Saccharomyces cerevisiae S288C: one gene and its partners. The protein of the gene in region 1 interacts with the protein of each later gene in a biochemical or structural test. Each region holds a gene or a part of one and is shown in the gene's direction. Other genes may lie near its edges.

Evidence for each region.
Region 2: of the proteins of HXK2 (region 1) and TDA1, one has a biochemical effect on the other in vitro, tested with the Saccharomyces cerevisiae proteins (2 studies listed by BioGRID).
Region 3: the proteins of HXK2 (region 1) and MIG1 form a complex in vitro, tested with the Saccharomyces cerevisiae proteins (2 studies listed by BioGRID).

What each region holds. Positions count from the first base shown.
Region 1 is NC_001139.9:21,935-27,228, forward strand, and holds HXK2 (hexokinase 2), read left to right. Parts: upstream 1-2,000; coding exon 2,001-3,461; downstream 3,462-5,294. Other genes in the region: high-affinity Zn(2+) transporter ZRT1, read left to right, coding at 1-174; FZF1 (Fzf1p), read left to right, coding at 370-1,269; RTG2 (Rtg2p), read right to left, coding at 3,784-5,294. UniProt on the Saccharomyces cerevisiae protein: Catalyzes the phosphorylation of hexose, such as D-glucose and D-fructose, to hexose 6-phosphate (D-glucose 6-phosphate and D-fructose 6-phosphate, respectively).
Region 2 is NC_001145.3:849,513-854,806, forward strand, and holds TDA1 (protein kinase TDA1), read left to right. Parts: upstream 1-3,117; coding exon 3,118-4,878; downstream 4,879-5,294. Other genes in the region: aminodeoxychorismate lyase ABZ2, read left to right, coding at 1-297; ATP-dependent RNA helicase HAS1, read right to left, coding at 562-2,079; GOT1 (Got1p), read left to right, coding at 5,283-5,294. UniProt on the Saccharomyces cerevisiae protein: Serine/threonine protein kinase shown to have protein phosphorylation activity in vitro.
Region 3 is NC_001139.9:430,421-435,714, reverse strand, and holds MIG1 (transcription factor MIG1), read left to right. Parts: upstream 1-2,652; coding exon 2,653-4,167; downstream 4,168-5,294. Other genes in the region: HOP2 (Hop2p), read right to left, coding at 36-90; YGL034C (uncharacterized protein), read left to right, coding at 2,136-2,501; VIR1 (Vir1p), read right to left, coding at 4,385-5,294. UniProt on the Saccharomyces cerevisiae protein: Involved in glucose repression of the SUC, GAL and MAL genes as well as of the CAT8 gene. Binds to two sites in the upstream region of SUC2.

The sequences.
Region 1 (5,294 bases):
GTTTTGGATGCCATTTCTGCTGGTATCTTATTGTACACTGGTTTGGTTGAACTACTAGCAAGAGACTTTATATTCAATCCTCAAAGAACAAAGGATCTAAGAGAATTGTCCTTCAACGTTATATGCACTCTTTTCGGTGCTGGTATCATGGCTTTGATCGGTAAGTGGGCTTAAACCAAAGCGAAATTCTGCATGTTCCATATAGATTCTATTTCATATTTTATAGTTATTTATTCTTTAGTAATAGCAAAAAAACAGTAATAATTTTTCTTTAACAGTCTCGGACAATAAATACGCTAAAGAAGATGAAAATGACAACTTTTACGCTGGTGTGCACAAGTGGTACCAGAATACGTGGCCACCAAAACAATGACGGATATAGGGAGAACCAAGTCTAGAAATTACAAATGTTCTTTTGACGGTTGTGAGAAAGTCTACAACAGACCTAGTTTGCTTCAGCAACACCAAAATTCGCATACCAATCAAAAGCCGTATCATTGTGATGAGCCGGGATGTGGCAAAAAATTTATAAGACCGTGCCATCTACGAGTTCACAAATGGACTCATTCACAAATCAAGCCCAAAGCGTGCACATTATGTCAAAAAAGATTTGTCACAAATCAGCAATTAAGAAGGCATTTAAATAGTCATGAAAGAAAAAGCAAGCTTGCATCAAGAATTGACCGTAAACACGAAGGAGTGAATGCGAATGTGAAAGCAGAACTCAATGGCAAGGAGGGAGGTTTTGACCCAAAATTACCTTCCGGCTCTCCAATGTGTGGTGAAGAATTCTCGCAAGGTCATTTGCCTGGATATGATGACATGCAAGTGCTACAATGCCCATACAAATCATGTCAAAAAGTTACCAGCTTCAATGACGATCTAATAAATCATATGTTGCAACATCATATAGCAAGTAAGCTTGTTGTACCATCTGGAGATCCATCTCTGAAGGAATCGCTTCCAACCTCTGAGAAATCCAGCAGCACCGACACTACATCCATTCCACAACTTTCATTTAGCACTACTGGGACAAGCAGTAGTGAAAGCGTTGATAGCACTACGGCACAAACCCCAACTGATCCAGAGAGTTACTGGTCGGATAACCGGTGCAAACATAGTGATTGTCAAGAGCTTAGTCCATTCGCATCTGTATTTGATCTCATTGACCACTATGACCACACGCACGCCTTCATTCCTGAGACGCTGGTAAAGTACAGCTACATTCATTTATATAAGCCTAGCGTCTGGGATTTATTCGAATACTGAACGCCATAGAAGAGCAATTTCCGTCCTCTACTCATGTGATTCGAACTATGAAACAAAGAAAAGGCAAGAGTAAATAGCGTGATACCTATTACGTATTACGTATACATCCTATTATTCTTGAAAAAAAGTGCGGGGCTCCAGAGCTCCACATTGGTGACCCCAGAGTATACTGCTCTTTCTAATGCCTTTTCCATCATGTTACTACGAGTTTTCTGAACCTCCTCGCACATTGGTACCTAGAAATGGCTATCATGCCGGACGGCACCGGGCAATAAACCGGACGGCACAAAAAAATCGAAGAAAAGAGATTTCTTTTTCTCGCGGGCAGTTTTTCCGGTCGATCGACATTCGTACGGTACTTTCTCTGTTTCAGGGACATCATGTTGTAAAAGAAAAAGACAGTTTAGGTAATCGTTCTTTTCTTTCTGAAAAATTTTCCACGACGACGACGACGACCACGAAACACCTTTGATTGCGAGATCCACGAAATTACCTCCTGCTGAGGCGAGCTTGCAAATATCGTGTCCAATTCCGTGATGTCTCTTTGTTGCACCTTCGCCACTGTCTTATCTACAAAACTATAAAAAAGAGTAATCCTACCCCATATCTAAAAAAAATTCCTTAACTTTTATAACTTAACTTCAAAGTTTCTTAATATTTTTTCGCTTTTTCTTTGAAAAGGTTGTAGGAATATAATTCTCCACACATAATAAGTACGCTAATTAAATAAAATGGTTCATTTAGGTCCAAAAAAACCACAAGCCAGAAAGGGTTCCATGGCCGATGTGCCAAAGGAATTGATGCAACAAATTGAGAATTTTGAAAAAATTTTCACTGTTCCAACTGAAACTTTACAAGCCGTTACCAAGCACTTCATTTCCGAATTGGAAAAGGGTTTGTCCAAGAAGGGTGGTAACATTCCAATGATTCCAGGTTGGGTTATGGATTTCCCAACTGGTAAGGAATCCGGTGATTTCTTGGCCATTGATTTGGGTGGTACCAACTTGAGAGTTGTCTTAGTCAAGTTGGGCGGTGACCGTACCTTTGACACCACTCAATCTAAGTACAGATTACCAGATGCTATGAGAACTACTCAAAATCCAGACGAATTGTGGGAATTTATTGCCGACTCTTTGAAAGCTTTTATTGATGAGCAATTCCCACAAGGTATCTCTGAGCCAATTCCATTGGGTTTCACCTTTTCTTTCCCAGCTTCTCAAAACAAAATCAATGAAGGTATCTTGCAAAGATGGACTAAAGGTTTTGATATTCCAAACATTGAAAACCACGATGTTGTTCCAATGTTGCAAAAGCAAATCACTAAGAGGAATATCCCAATTGAAGTTGTTGCTTTGATAAACGACACTACCGGTACTTTGGTTGCTTCTTACTACACTGACCCAGAAACTAAGATGGGTGTTATCTTCGGTACTGGTGTCAATGGTGCTTACTACGATGTTTGTTCCGATATCGAAAAGCTACAAGGAAAACTATCTGATGACATTCCACCATCTGCTCCAATGGCCATCAACTGTGAATACGGTTCCTTCGATAATGAACATGTCGTTTTGCCAAGAACTAAATACGATATCACCATTGATGAAGAATCTCCAAGACCAGGCCAACAAACCTTTGAAAAAATGTCTTCTGGTTACTACTTAGGTGAAATTTTGCGTTTGGCCTTGATGGACATGTACAAACAAGGTTTCATCTTCAAGAACCAAGACTTGTCTAAGTTCGACAAGCCTTTCGTCATGGACACTTCTTACCCAGCCAGAATCGAGGAAGATCCATTCGAGAACCTAGAAGATACCGATGACTTGTTCCAAAATGAGTTCGGTATCAACACTACTGTTCAAGAACGTAAATTGATCAGACGTTTATCTGAATTGATTGGTGCTAGAGCTGCTAGATTGTCCGTTTGTGGTATTGCTGCTATCTGTCAAAAGAGAGGTTACAAGACCGGTCACATCGCTGCAGACGGTTCCGTTTACAACAGATACCCAGGTTTCAAAGAAAAGGCTGCCAATGCTTTGAAGGACATTTACGGCTGGACTCAAACCTCACTAGACGACTACCCAATCAAGATTGTTCCTGCTGAAGATGGTTCCGGTGCTGGTGCCGCTGTTATTGCTGCTTTGGCCCAAAAAAGAATTGCTGAAGGTAAGTCCGTTGGTATCATCGGTGCTTAAACTTAATTTGTAAATTAAGTTTGAACAACAAGAAGGTGCCCTTTTTCTACTTATGTGAACATGTTTTCTATGATCTTTTTTTTTCTTACTTTTACAACTGTGATATTGTATAAACTTTGTTAGAAATTCACGGGATTTATTCGTGACGATAAATATTTATATAGACAAAGAATATGACGATTTATGAAATCTACATGATTTTAGTTTCTTTTAACAATTGCTCGTTTTTTTCTCTTGCTTAATTTTAAATTTTTTTGGTAGTAAAAGATGCTTATATAAGGATTTCGTATTTATTGTTCAAGTATTTAAAGACTAGATGTCTTTATTCTTCATAAAATTGCACGCCAATTTTAACCCTCTCTACACTTCCTCTAGATAGCTTGCGTACTTTCTTTTGTAGCGTGATAATTCTGGAACGAACGGAAGCACTTGTTTTAAGATCGTCCTTACTAATTCTCACAACCACTTCATACCCGCGATTTTTACGCGTGGATTCTTCTTTTACCTTTGTAGTGTTTGCATCATCAATGATTAATTCTTTTAAACTGGTCTCCACCTCACTACGCTTAGAAACATGGAAATCAAATACGTTATCTCTGATATTACCACCTGGATGAACACCGCAAATCACATACATAATCGTACCAATATACTTCGTCCACCATACAATTCTCAATGCTTCAGCTTTATCACCTTCGCGTAGAACTACTTGTTCTAATTCTTGGGAGTATTTTTCTTCAGATTCCGGAATGTTGCCGCCCCATCTACTACATAGAGCAATTCCTATCAGCGCTCTAGCTCTGTGAGATAATCCATGACAGCCGGCTATTATCCCTCTTGTAGCAACATGTAATGCAGCTGTTGGTTGTAACTCCTTTGGATAAGAGGCATGAACAAATGCTAAGTTACATAAAGCAGGAGCAATCCTTTCGTTTACTATTTCTGGTATATCTTCTTGTGGGATTGATGTTCTCAATAGATATAGATATTTTTCAGTAAGTAATGGAGCATAAGGACGGGACGCAATTAGCAATGGATCTTGTGCACGAATTTCTTTTGGAAGAAGAGAATAAAGTGAACCCTCTCGAACACCACCCTCACTAAAATGTACAGCTTTGATCTGGGGAATCGCTTCAAAAACAGCACTCATGAACAAACCAACGGCAGGAAGTTGTAAAGCCCTTCTATCAGAAACCTTAAATATTTTATGCTCTTTTGAAGAACCTGGTATTTTTTGTTTTAGGAATAGATAATCTGACATAGACGAGAATTCTTCATAAGTGCAAGCATATCCGTTAATTATTGTTTGGATGGGATAACCTTCCGACTGGTAAAGAAGCAGATGTCCCATACCTCTTAAACCACCCCCACGGGTCCAAAGGTCAAATCCACCTTCTTTCTTGGCGTCATCAATCATTTCTTGAGGTATACCAATTTTTTCAATCGCATCTTTGTACGCTTCTTTAATCTCATAAAAAAGTGCCCTATTATCATCTGTTCTCATTCTTCTCAAAAGAGTTCCAGCTCCATATGGCAAAGATACAGGTTTGCTGGATTGCTTGACTTCTCCGTGCGAGCTTATTACCCATGATAACTGAGTACTACCACCTGCCACATCTAGATATAGACCTCTTACTGTATTAAATGAGGAAACAACACCATATATGCCGACCCTAGTTTCATCTTCCTGGCCTAATATTTCTACTTTCCAGCCAGTGCTACCGTAAACAGCATTAACAAATTCATCCGCGTTAATAGCATCTCGCGTGGCTTCTGTTGCAATTACTCTGACACTAGTTTCAGGTACACCAAAATCATCGCAAATTAATTTGA
Region 2 (5,294 bases), on another chromosome or scaffold:
CCTACTTCTTCTGTCTCGCAATGCGAAATTTTATTTTCCAACAAATCTGGCCTGCTGATGGAAGGTTCAATAACAAACGTGGCTGTAATTCAAAAAGATCCTAACGGTTCTAAAAAGTATGTGACACCAAGATTAGCAACTGGATGTTTGTGCGGAACAATGCGTCATTATTTATTGCGGCTCGGCCTTATTGAAGAGGGAGATATAGATATAGGAAGCCTTACCGTTGGCAACGAAGTTTTGCTTTTCAATGGCGTCATGGGATGCATAAAGGGAACAGTGAAGACAAAATATTGAGCAGACGACAGATTTTCATATCAATGAAGTTTTTTTACAATAGTTTACAAATCATGATTTTACATACTCAAATATGTGCAGGTTGATACAGACAACGTACGTAGAAGACAACAAACAGAAAACAGCGGTTTATACATTTATTTAAATGACATACAGTGGAGAAGCAGAGAAAGGAAAAGGAGTGCGATGAGAACAGAAGATGAATACTTCGGTTGTGTTGGTTCCACGTACACATTAATAGCATTAAAAATTGATCCTCTGAAATTACTTATGAGTTTTACGTCTTTTGGTATTTGGCGTTTTTCCACTGGCACCAATTGTAATGTTAACCTTTGGAGGGACTGGAAAACCGTAAGACTTTGCTACTTTGGCTAAATCCAGCTTATCGATTTGATAGACAGTTTTCAAAGAGTGGGAAGCGTACGCTTGTAAATAAGATCTATAACCATCCTTGGCTGTTTGATGTAGATAATAGTTGGATTTAATTAATTTTTCTAATTGTGATTGAACGTTTGCAATTTTGTTTTCCGGGAATTCGTACTCATTTAATGGGACCTTGGAAGCCTTTAGATATCTTAAAAACCCTAATTCATTAGGTGTTAAAAACATTAAAGATTTACCCTTACCTTTAGTGCCTCTTGCGGTTCTTCCGACTCTATGAATATAATCTCTTGGATCATCAGGAGGGTCGAATTGAATGATCCAGTCCACAGCAGGGATATCTAGCCCTCTAGCTGCGACATCTGTACAAATCAAGATACCTCTTTCCGCATTACAGAATTCGAAAAATGTATTTGTTCTCTTTTGTTGTTTTTGCTTACCGTGTAATTCGAGGACTGGCAAATCAATATAGTTCAATAATTCAGCGTAATATTTCACAGAGTTACAAGATGATAAAAATACAATAATTTTCTTTTTTTGATTTCTTTTCAAGAAAGAAAATAACAACAAAAATCTCTTATCACTGTCACATACCACATAGCCTTGTTCTAATCCATCTGCGGTGGAGTTGTCGGTTTCAGGAACGACATTAATGAAAAGAGGGCCCGGTCTCAGCGAGATTCTAGCCAAATCCTCAACTTTGGTCGTTTGTGTAGCTGAAAATAACATGGATTGCCTATCTTCGTTTGGCAAGATCTTAATTATCTGCCTCATTTCATCTTCAAACCCAATTTCTAAGATTCTGTCCGCTTCATCGATAATCAAAGCCTTCAAGTTCTTGAATACAAATCCTTTTGTATTTTGTAAGTGATCCAATAATCTTCCAGGGGTAGCAATCAACATGTTAACACCTTTCATCAATTTTTCGGCTTCCTGTCTTCTATTTGCACCACCAATGACAATACCAAATGTCTGTGAATGGAATTCCATTAACTCTCTTGCCACTCCAAAAATCTGTAAAGCCAACTCTCTTGTAGGCGTAATGACAATTATACCGGTACCATTTCTTGGTTTGAATTTCAAAGAATGCAATAGTTCAATAGCAGGGATGAGAAACGCTAGAGTTTTACCAGAACCTGTCTTGGCAGCACCAAGAACATCCCTACCGGCCAAAAGAGGTGGGATAGTCCTTGCCTGAACAGAAGTCATAGTGGTAAATCCCATCTTTTCAATGGCCTTTAAAGTTGGCTGTGATAACTTTAGTTCTTCGAACTTTTCCACACAAGTAGTTTGTTCTCCCTCAGGTGCGGCATTGTTTTGTTTTGAAGTGCTCTTTTCATCTACTACAGGTTCTTCTGTAGATTCAGAATCTCTAGAACGTTTATTTGACGGGGTAGCCATACTTCTCCTGTTAATATTGCTCAGCTTATCTAATTATTATAGTATACAGTTATCCAATAGCTATGTACTCAAGTACCGTGTATACACTATAAAATCTCATCTCATCGCTAAAGCTAATATTGAAAAAAAAAAAAAAAAAAAAAAGAAAAAGCAAATAAAAAATTTTCAATTCGGGTAACGAAGAATCGACTCTCGCCGGGTAAACAATTCTTAGTCGTCATACACTCCTCTTTACGTTAAGAAAATAGAAGTAGCAGCGCTTTGTAAAGCATTAAAGCGTCATGGATTGCAAAATACACATAATATATCACTTGTGATAGTGAGAAATGGAATGAAGTGGTTTAAGATGCTCTTTTACCAATAAACATATTGCGCCTATCAAATCATTTTCCACCCCTGTTAACTGATACAGATATAGCCTTACATATAACTTTTGCACTCCCTAAAATTACCATGGCTGTTCACCGCCTGCTATCATCCATGTTTTTACATACATCTATTAGGTTTGCCATCTTAGCCGCCGAAGCTATCGTTGCCGGTACAGGCGCTCCTTGAATAACCCCCTCCCCCCCACGCTATTCTTCAAATTCCGATTTCAGCTTCTCTTTGTTTTTCCTTTTTTGGCACCTCGGAAAAACCTCCACGTGTTAGGTTATTCCGCCGATTCCACGGGTGGGGTGCTACCAAGACTCCTGAAAAAGAAACTGTATGACGAAAAGAAAAAAAAAAAGCTGCTTGAATTCCAACACCGCTTTCTTGTTCTGACAATAGAAAGGGGGATTCCTAAAAAAAGAAAAAGAGGGCGGGGTTTATCATGTACTCAGAATATGAAAACGTGTCGAACGGGGATGACTTCTTCTGCTTCTTTACTTCTTTCTATTTAGAGTGACAGTTTTTTTATTTGTTTTGCTAACTTGTTTATTTATTAATTTCTTGTTTGCTCCTTCAGTTACCTACCACGACTGTCTCAGCCAAACCGCGATATTTTCATACAATTGACATTACAACAGTTCAAAAAGAAAAATACACATCCAGGATATGACTACAGCTAGTTCTTCTGCTTCCCAGCTACAACAGCGCCTGCCGGAAGAAAAACCTTGGCCGCAACTGAGTGGCAGCAATGCAGACGCTCAAACCTTCAAATGTAAATACGTAACCAACCACAACTCCTTGGGCGATGGGAATTTTAGCGTCGTGAAAGAATGTATGAATATACACACAAAGGATTTGTACGCGATGAAGCTTATTAAGAAACAAACTGTCAAGAACAAAATTCAACTTATTCAAAGAGAGTTCGACCTTTTGAGGTCAATAAGCGAGAAAATCAGAGATATGGAAAAAAAGAATGAACATTCTTTGGACATTTTTGAGGGGCATCACCATATTTTACAACTTTTCGACTATTTTGAGACGGCAGATAACATTGTCCTGATCACTCAGCTGTGTCAGAAGGGAGATTTGTATGAAAAAATTGTTGAAAATCAGTGTTTAGACCTCGAAACTCAAGTTACCTCGTACTGCGCCTGTTTGGTGAGCGTTCTCGAGTTTTTGCATTCTCAAGGTATTGTTCATAGAGACTTGAAAGCAGAAAACGTCTTATTCAGATTGAGAGTGAACGAAAACGAAAAAAACCTACAGGGTGAACACCACGGAGATTTCAAATACGATCTCTTGGCACACGACCTAGTTCTCGCCGATTTTGGTCTTGCTGCTGAATATAACACAAGTAAGGTAAACTCGTTAAAGGAGTTTGTTGGAACCATCTCGTATATTGCTCCAGAAATCGTCAAGTGCAAAGGTGTCGGTGAAATGACTCCTGATCAAGTTGGCAAACTAGACAAGTATGGTTGTCCGGTGGATATATGGGCCCTTGGTGTACTGACATATTTCATGGCCTTCGGCTATACGCCCTTTGACTGTACCACAGACGACGAAACTCTGGAATGTATTTCAAAATGTGACTATTACGTCGACGAACAAATGATGCACGACCCTAAATACGAACAATTTTGGAATTTTGTTCAATGCTGTTTTACTATTGACCCGGCCGTTAGGCGTTCTGCTAAGAATTTGAAACAGCATCCCTTTATTAAGGATTATTTTGCTACTTCAAATTCTTTGAATACTAAGGACACGCCGAATTTCTCCTTTCATCCAACAATAAGAAGGGTATCTTCTACAGCGTCCATGCACACATTGAGGTCTCCTTCCAAATCAAGAAAGACAACTACTCTAGCGTATTTAAATATGGATGGCGGGTCCTCTGAAACTTCCACCGCCTTCAGCAGCAAGATGGATTTGCCTGACCTTTACGTTGATAGAACCATTAATTCTCGTGAAAGATCATTGAATAGAATTCGAGACACTCTGAAGAAAACATTATCCATGACATCTCTTAAGCCTGCAGGCACATTCGACTATCTTCACGCTAACAAAAACGGTACTTCTTTATCATCATCCAAGTCAGGCCTCGTGAAAAAGAATTCTACTTTTGTCTTGGACCCTAAGCCACCAAAGAATAGCTTGATGAACGGTTGTTTCAGCACCACTCCAGAATCGCGCTCAAATTTCAATACCCCCAAAACCTTATCGAGGCAAGGTTCCTCTACTAGCGTGAAGAAATATGTCAATGAAGTTGACTTACTTTTAACCCCACGTACGGCCTCGATGAGCAGCAATGATACCACAGCCATTAACGATTATGATACTACTAACGATAAGAATCCTGCAAGAAAACACGCAGCTTCATTCCAGGTGAATGTTGATGATTCTGATGGTGATGAAACCATGCAGATATAGTGTTGAATGATAATTCACCTTTTTTTTCTTTCTTTTTTTTTTTACCTGGGACGACATTCTAACTAATGAAATTTACGATTAATTATTCTTTTTTTTTTTTTTCAAGAAATAAATATAACTGTAACATATATATATTAATTATGGGGGATCACAAAGAAAAATAGTAACTTTAAGAATCAAATAATAATGTGTTGCGCTTCTTAGTACTCATCCGGCATTTACGGTTTCCATGGTATGGTTTATTTTTCGTGCATAGTATTACCCGTCGTGTTCTTTTCGGACATTGGAAAGTTGTCCATCCCAAACACTTAAGATGAGTTAAAAGGCGTTGGCGTTTGCCTTCTCCGTGTGATTGATTTACAGTTCAGCCCAGTGATCATTTAGCTTACCCATCATCGCGTAAAATGTGGCTCACA
Region 3 (5,294 bases), 410 kb from region 1:
GCGGTATTTGATGAGCATGTAAAAAAATACTTAACCTTCTGAGCCTTTTGCCTGAATGGCTCTATCGTTTGATTTCTTTTTCGGTGCCATATCTTTCAAATAGAGCCTGGTCAGTTCACGTTAGCTTTATTATTAATATTTGTTAGAAACAACTCTTAAAACGCTTCTCTTTTTCGGTCGCGTAAAAGGATAATATTATTAATGGAAAATTTAGCCGCCGAGGACATAATCTTTTGAATCTTCATAAAAAAGCAACTGTAAGCAATGTAAAGTCCAAAACTTTACCATTTTTTGTTTGATCTTGCATGAGAATACCGGGTGAGCCTAACATGAAAAAGATAGCTAGCCACTATTGTAAAAATGTGATAAAGGATACGAGACTCAAATTCACTTGGATAACTATCTAGCAGGTTTTGAGTCAGCCATATTAGGTTACATACCGGTCCAAACCTATATAGAGCCATTGTACGATCCGACTACAAGTTATTTATATGGAAATTAACAGATTGTTTGGAGTCACCGTACGCAGCTCACATAGATAGCTTATTGTGCAAAATATAATTAAATAAAGATGCAAGATGGATGATAACAAGAATTATAAGCAAAGGATTATTGATGTTCCGAATAATTCAATTCACTATATAACAGGTGTTGGGTATATGTATGTGATCTACCTGGTACGTGTAATTTAAAAAATAAAATAATTGGGAAAACTACGGAATTACGTTTGCGCATTGCGTCCGAAGATCAGCACCTCAGATAAAAAATCAACTTTCGCCGTGGTAGACTTCGAGATACTCTGCTAATAGCGATGCTCGATATTACTACCAATGTATGTGAAGGTTTTGATTGTATTCAATCCTTTTTCAGATAATTTACCCTTGCTTTAAGCTGCGTATATCAAGTGCATTTGCTGTCTGCTGATGTCAATTAATTGTATCAATTGGCCAGCTTCGGATAACGAACGATTATCGCGCGAGTGAAATAGACTGGGTCGACCCTTTTGAATTATCACGGCATCGCAATATCTTTGGAGCAGTACAACATTTACTTTTCTTGACCAATCCTAAGAGTTTGTATACATTTTTTGTAAACTGTAGTACGGCGTTAGAGTCAAGAAGTAGCTTATTATATCCTGTGCACAAATTTCAAAGTTTTTGCCGCCATCATATGGCTGAAAGAGGGCAGCAAATTCCATCTCGTTATTTTTGCATATCAACGCAAGCGTTACACAAGATATGGTTAGAAGCAACGAGCAGAAATTCATTACAATGACAGAAATTAATTGCCGTTGCAACATTGTTTTGCCTCTATCGCGTGTGTTTCCTTGAAGGCAGTGTATCACTGAATGTCATCAGTAATGTTACCAAGAATGAACATCCTCCAAATACTCATAGAAACCCGTTTAAAATTCGGGAATTGATGACTTCCTTATGGTAGGCAAGTGTGATTTACAGACTTTCCATGCGATGAACCCCTATTTTAATCGTATGGATCACCAGATCAAGAATTGGCAGTTCTGTCCCATTATTAGAATAGCGAGAAAACGGATGCTTTCATAATTTTTGATTGTTGCTTCATCCTATTTCACCCTATTTAATAGCCTTCTGTAGAAATATCGTGTATGGTTCCTTTATCATTGCTTAGCATAGCTGCCACTAACCTACATTAATCGACTTTTTCCCGGAAAATTAGCGGGTAATCGATTTTTCTAGATGGCATTGTGGAGGAAAGTAAGTGCGTGGGGTGTGTAAGTTGCCGTACAATGCAGTATAACCAGTAGGACTGGAAGGTAGTCAGTACAGTAAGACTAGAAGTTAGCGAGCCAGCACGTTTCCTTCGCGCCGGTTTTTTTTTTTATTTTTTATTTAATTTTTTTCAAAACTTGACGTGTAGAAGATTGACGTCTGGGGTTGGCCCCATGAATTTTTTATCTATTTCTTCCCTGTGCCTAATTCGTAATATCTCCACTGATAGCGTAAAAAAGCGCTTTATTTTTCCGAAAGTTGTGATGGCATTCCATACAGTTTATAGGATGGTAGCAAGTGATAAGAGCTTGGGGCCCACAATTAAGCAGCAGAAAAGCGCAATTGCGACACTAGCAGTGTAACTCGATAGGATTTTATGGAGTGTTGATGAATGTAGTTGCCATTATAATGGCTTCTCAGGAAACCTGTAGCGGCCGGGCCCCGCGAGAAACTCCAGAGTGGCGTAGGCCGGCTTGTTTAGTTGCTAGCATACTTGTTCGAGCTCTTGAGTTCTCCTGGCTTTTCTCCACGTGTCTGCTTGTTGCCTTTGATTTCGCGAGAGACTGCGGACTGCCACCCCACTCCGGGAAAACCTGGAGTGATGGTAAAGGCCCTGCGGCGCTTTCTTTCGGAAAAACTAATACGAAAGAAGCAACAACAAATTTTTACAACAGGCTGGACGAGAAAAGTGGGGAAGAGCAAGCAGAAAAAAGAAAAGAGAATAGTCGTTCTTGGATAATTTATTTATTATAACCCTTTTTTTTCACCCCAGTACTCATTAACGAAGACAAAGGAGAGTAAGAAAGCCCGGTAAAGCATTTCGAAGATAAGAGAGCCATTTATTCTAGCTCGCTTGTAACTACACGAGAGTTGAGTATAGTGGAGACGACATACTACCATAGCCATGCAAAGCCCATATCCAATGACACAAGTGTCTAACGTTGATGATGGGTCACTATTGAAGGAGAGTAAAAGCAAGTCCAAAGTAGCTGCGAAGTCAGAGGCGCCAAGACCACATGCTTGTCCTATCTGTCATAGAGCTTTTCACAGACTGGAACATCAGACGAGACACATGAGAATTCATACAGGTGAGAAGCCTCACGCGTGTGACTTCCCCGGATGTGTGAAAAGGTTCAGTAGAAGCGATGAACTGACGAGACACAGAAGAATTCATACAAACTCCCACCCTCGAGGTAAAAGAGGCAGAAAGAAGAAGGTTGTGGGCTCTCCAATAAATAGTGCTAGTTCTAGTGCTACCAGTATACCAGATTTAAATACGGCAAATTTTTCACCGCCATTACCACAGCAACACCTATCGCCTTTAATTCCTATTGCTATTGCTCCGAAAGAAAATTCAAGTCGATCTTCTACAAGAAAAGGTAGAAAAACCAAATTCGAAATCGGCGAAAGTGGTGGGAATGACCCATATATGGTTTCTTCTCCCAAAACGATGGCTAAGATTCCCGTCTCGGTGAAGCCTCCACCTTCTTTAGCACTGAATAATATGAACTACCAAACTTCATCCGCTTCCACTGCTTTGTCTTCGTTGAGCAATAGCCATAGTGGCAGTAGACTGAAACTGAACGCGTTATCGTCCCTACAAATGATGACGCCCATTGCTAGCAGTGCGCCAAGGACTGTTTTCATAGACGGTCCTGAACAGAAACAACTACAACAACAACAAAATTCTCTTTCACCACGTTATTCCAACACTGTTATATTACCAAGGCCGCGATCTTTAACGGATTTTCAAGGATTGAACAATGCAAATCCAAACAACAATGGAAGTCTCAGAGCACAAACTCAGAGTTCCGTACAGTTGAAGAGACCAAGTTCAGTTTTAAGTTTGAACGACTTGTTGGTTGGCCAAAGAAATACCAACGAATCTGACTCTGATTTTACTACTGGTGGTGAGGATGAAGAAGACGGACTAAAGGACCCGTCTAACTCTAGTATCGATAACCTTGAGCAAGACTATTTGCAAGAGCAATCAAGAAAGAAATCTAAGACTTCCACGCCCACGACAATGCTAAGTAGATCCACTAGTGGTACGAATTTGCACACTTTGGGGTATGTAATGAACCAAAATCACTTGCATTTCTCCTCATCATCTCCTGATTTCCAAAAGGAGTTGAACAACAGATTACTGAACGTTCAACAACAGCAGCAAGAGCAACATACCCTACTGCAATCACAAAATACGTCAAACCAAAGTCAAAATCAAAATCAAAATCAAATGATGGCTTCCAGTAGTTCGTTAAGTACAACCCCGTTATTATTGTCACCAAGGGTGAATATGATTAATACTGCTATATCCACCCAACAAACCCCCATTTCTCAGTCGGATTCACAAGTTCAAGAACTGGAAACATTACCACCCATAAGAAGTTTACCGTTGCCCTTCCCACACATGGACTGATACGCTGACAAGTTTTTGGCGGTGCAGATAAATCAAAAGACAATAGACAAGAATTAATAATATTAACAATTAATAATTAATAAATAATAAATAATAATAATAATAATAATAATAATAATAATAATAGTAATAATAATAATAATTAATAACGATAAAAATATTTAATTATGATAGTAAGAATACATATTTTGATTGTCTTAGTCTTCCGCAGAGATAATTAATTGTTCTCATTTTCAAAGTCATCTATATGTATTGATTGAGCTCTACTGTTGTTTTTAACTTTATTGTGGCCCCCTAAAATATAATTTTTACCAGTATTAACCATTTTGCTCTTATTAGTACTTTTACTGATGGTGGAACCCTTGAAATTTGTCATGGGCGATTCAATCCATAGATTGTTATTGCTGCTTCCACTAGTGTTCTTGTATGGAATTGGTGTCGTAGGTGCCGTAGTCATAGCATCGGTTGCTCTAGTTAAGGTGGTTGGTTGTCTCGTCATATTGGTATTGGTTGTGTTGAATGAATTGTCAAGAGAATAACTCTCATTCATGGAACCAGGTCCTTGTGTGCCGCTGTTATTGTTGCTACCATTACTTTCCTGAGAAATTAGGCTGCTTTTGTTGAACAAAAACCTGTTGGAAGAACATGGAGTAGAGTTTTGAGGCTGCTGCTGCTGCTTACTAACGTTAGTGTTAGTGTTTTTCGACGTGGACGGTATGAAAGATGTGGACGAGTAGACATCGTACTTCGATAACGTAGTAAAGTTTTCAATATTTTTCTGCGCAGCTGATTGTGATGATGTACAATTATCGCTTGTTGATGCTGAAGTTATTGTATTTGGTGGAGTGGATATCACAAATTGAACATCCTCAGGGAATAATTTCAGCAAGTCAGATGTTGTTAGTTTTATTGGCTTAATCTTTGGTTGCTCTTCATAGAAAAGCTCCTTATAAAATGCATTATAAACTTCAGAACCGTCATTCCACAATGTGATGTAATCTTTCAAAGCTTGGAAAGAAAGTTGATTTTTTAAACATAACTTTTTAATTAAATTATCATCATCACTTCCATCCCTAATTTGATGGAAGAACAAATGATTCAATAAGTTTATGGATATTTTTTGTAAA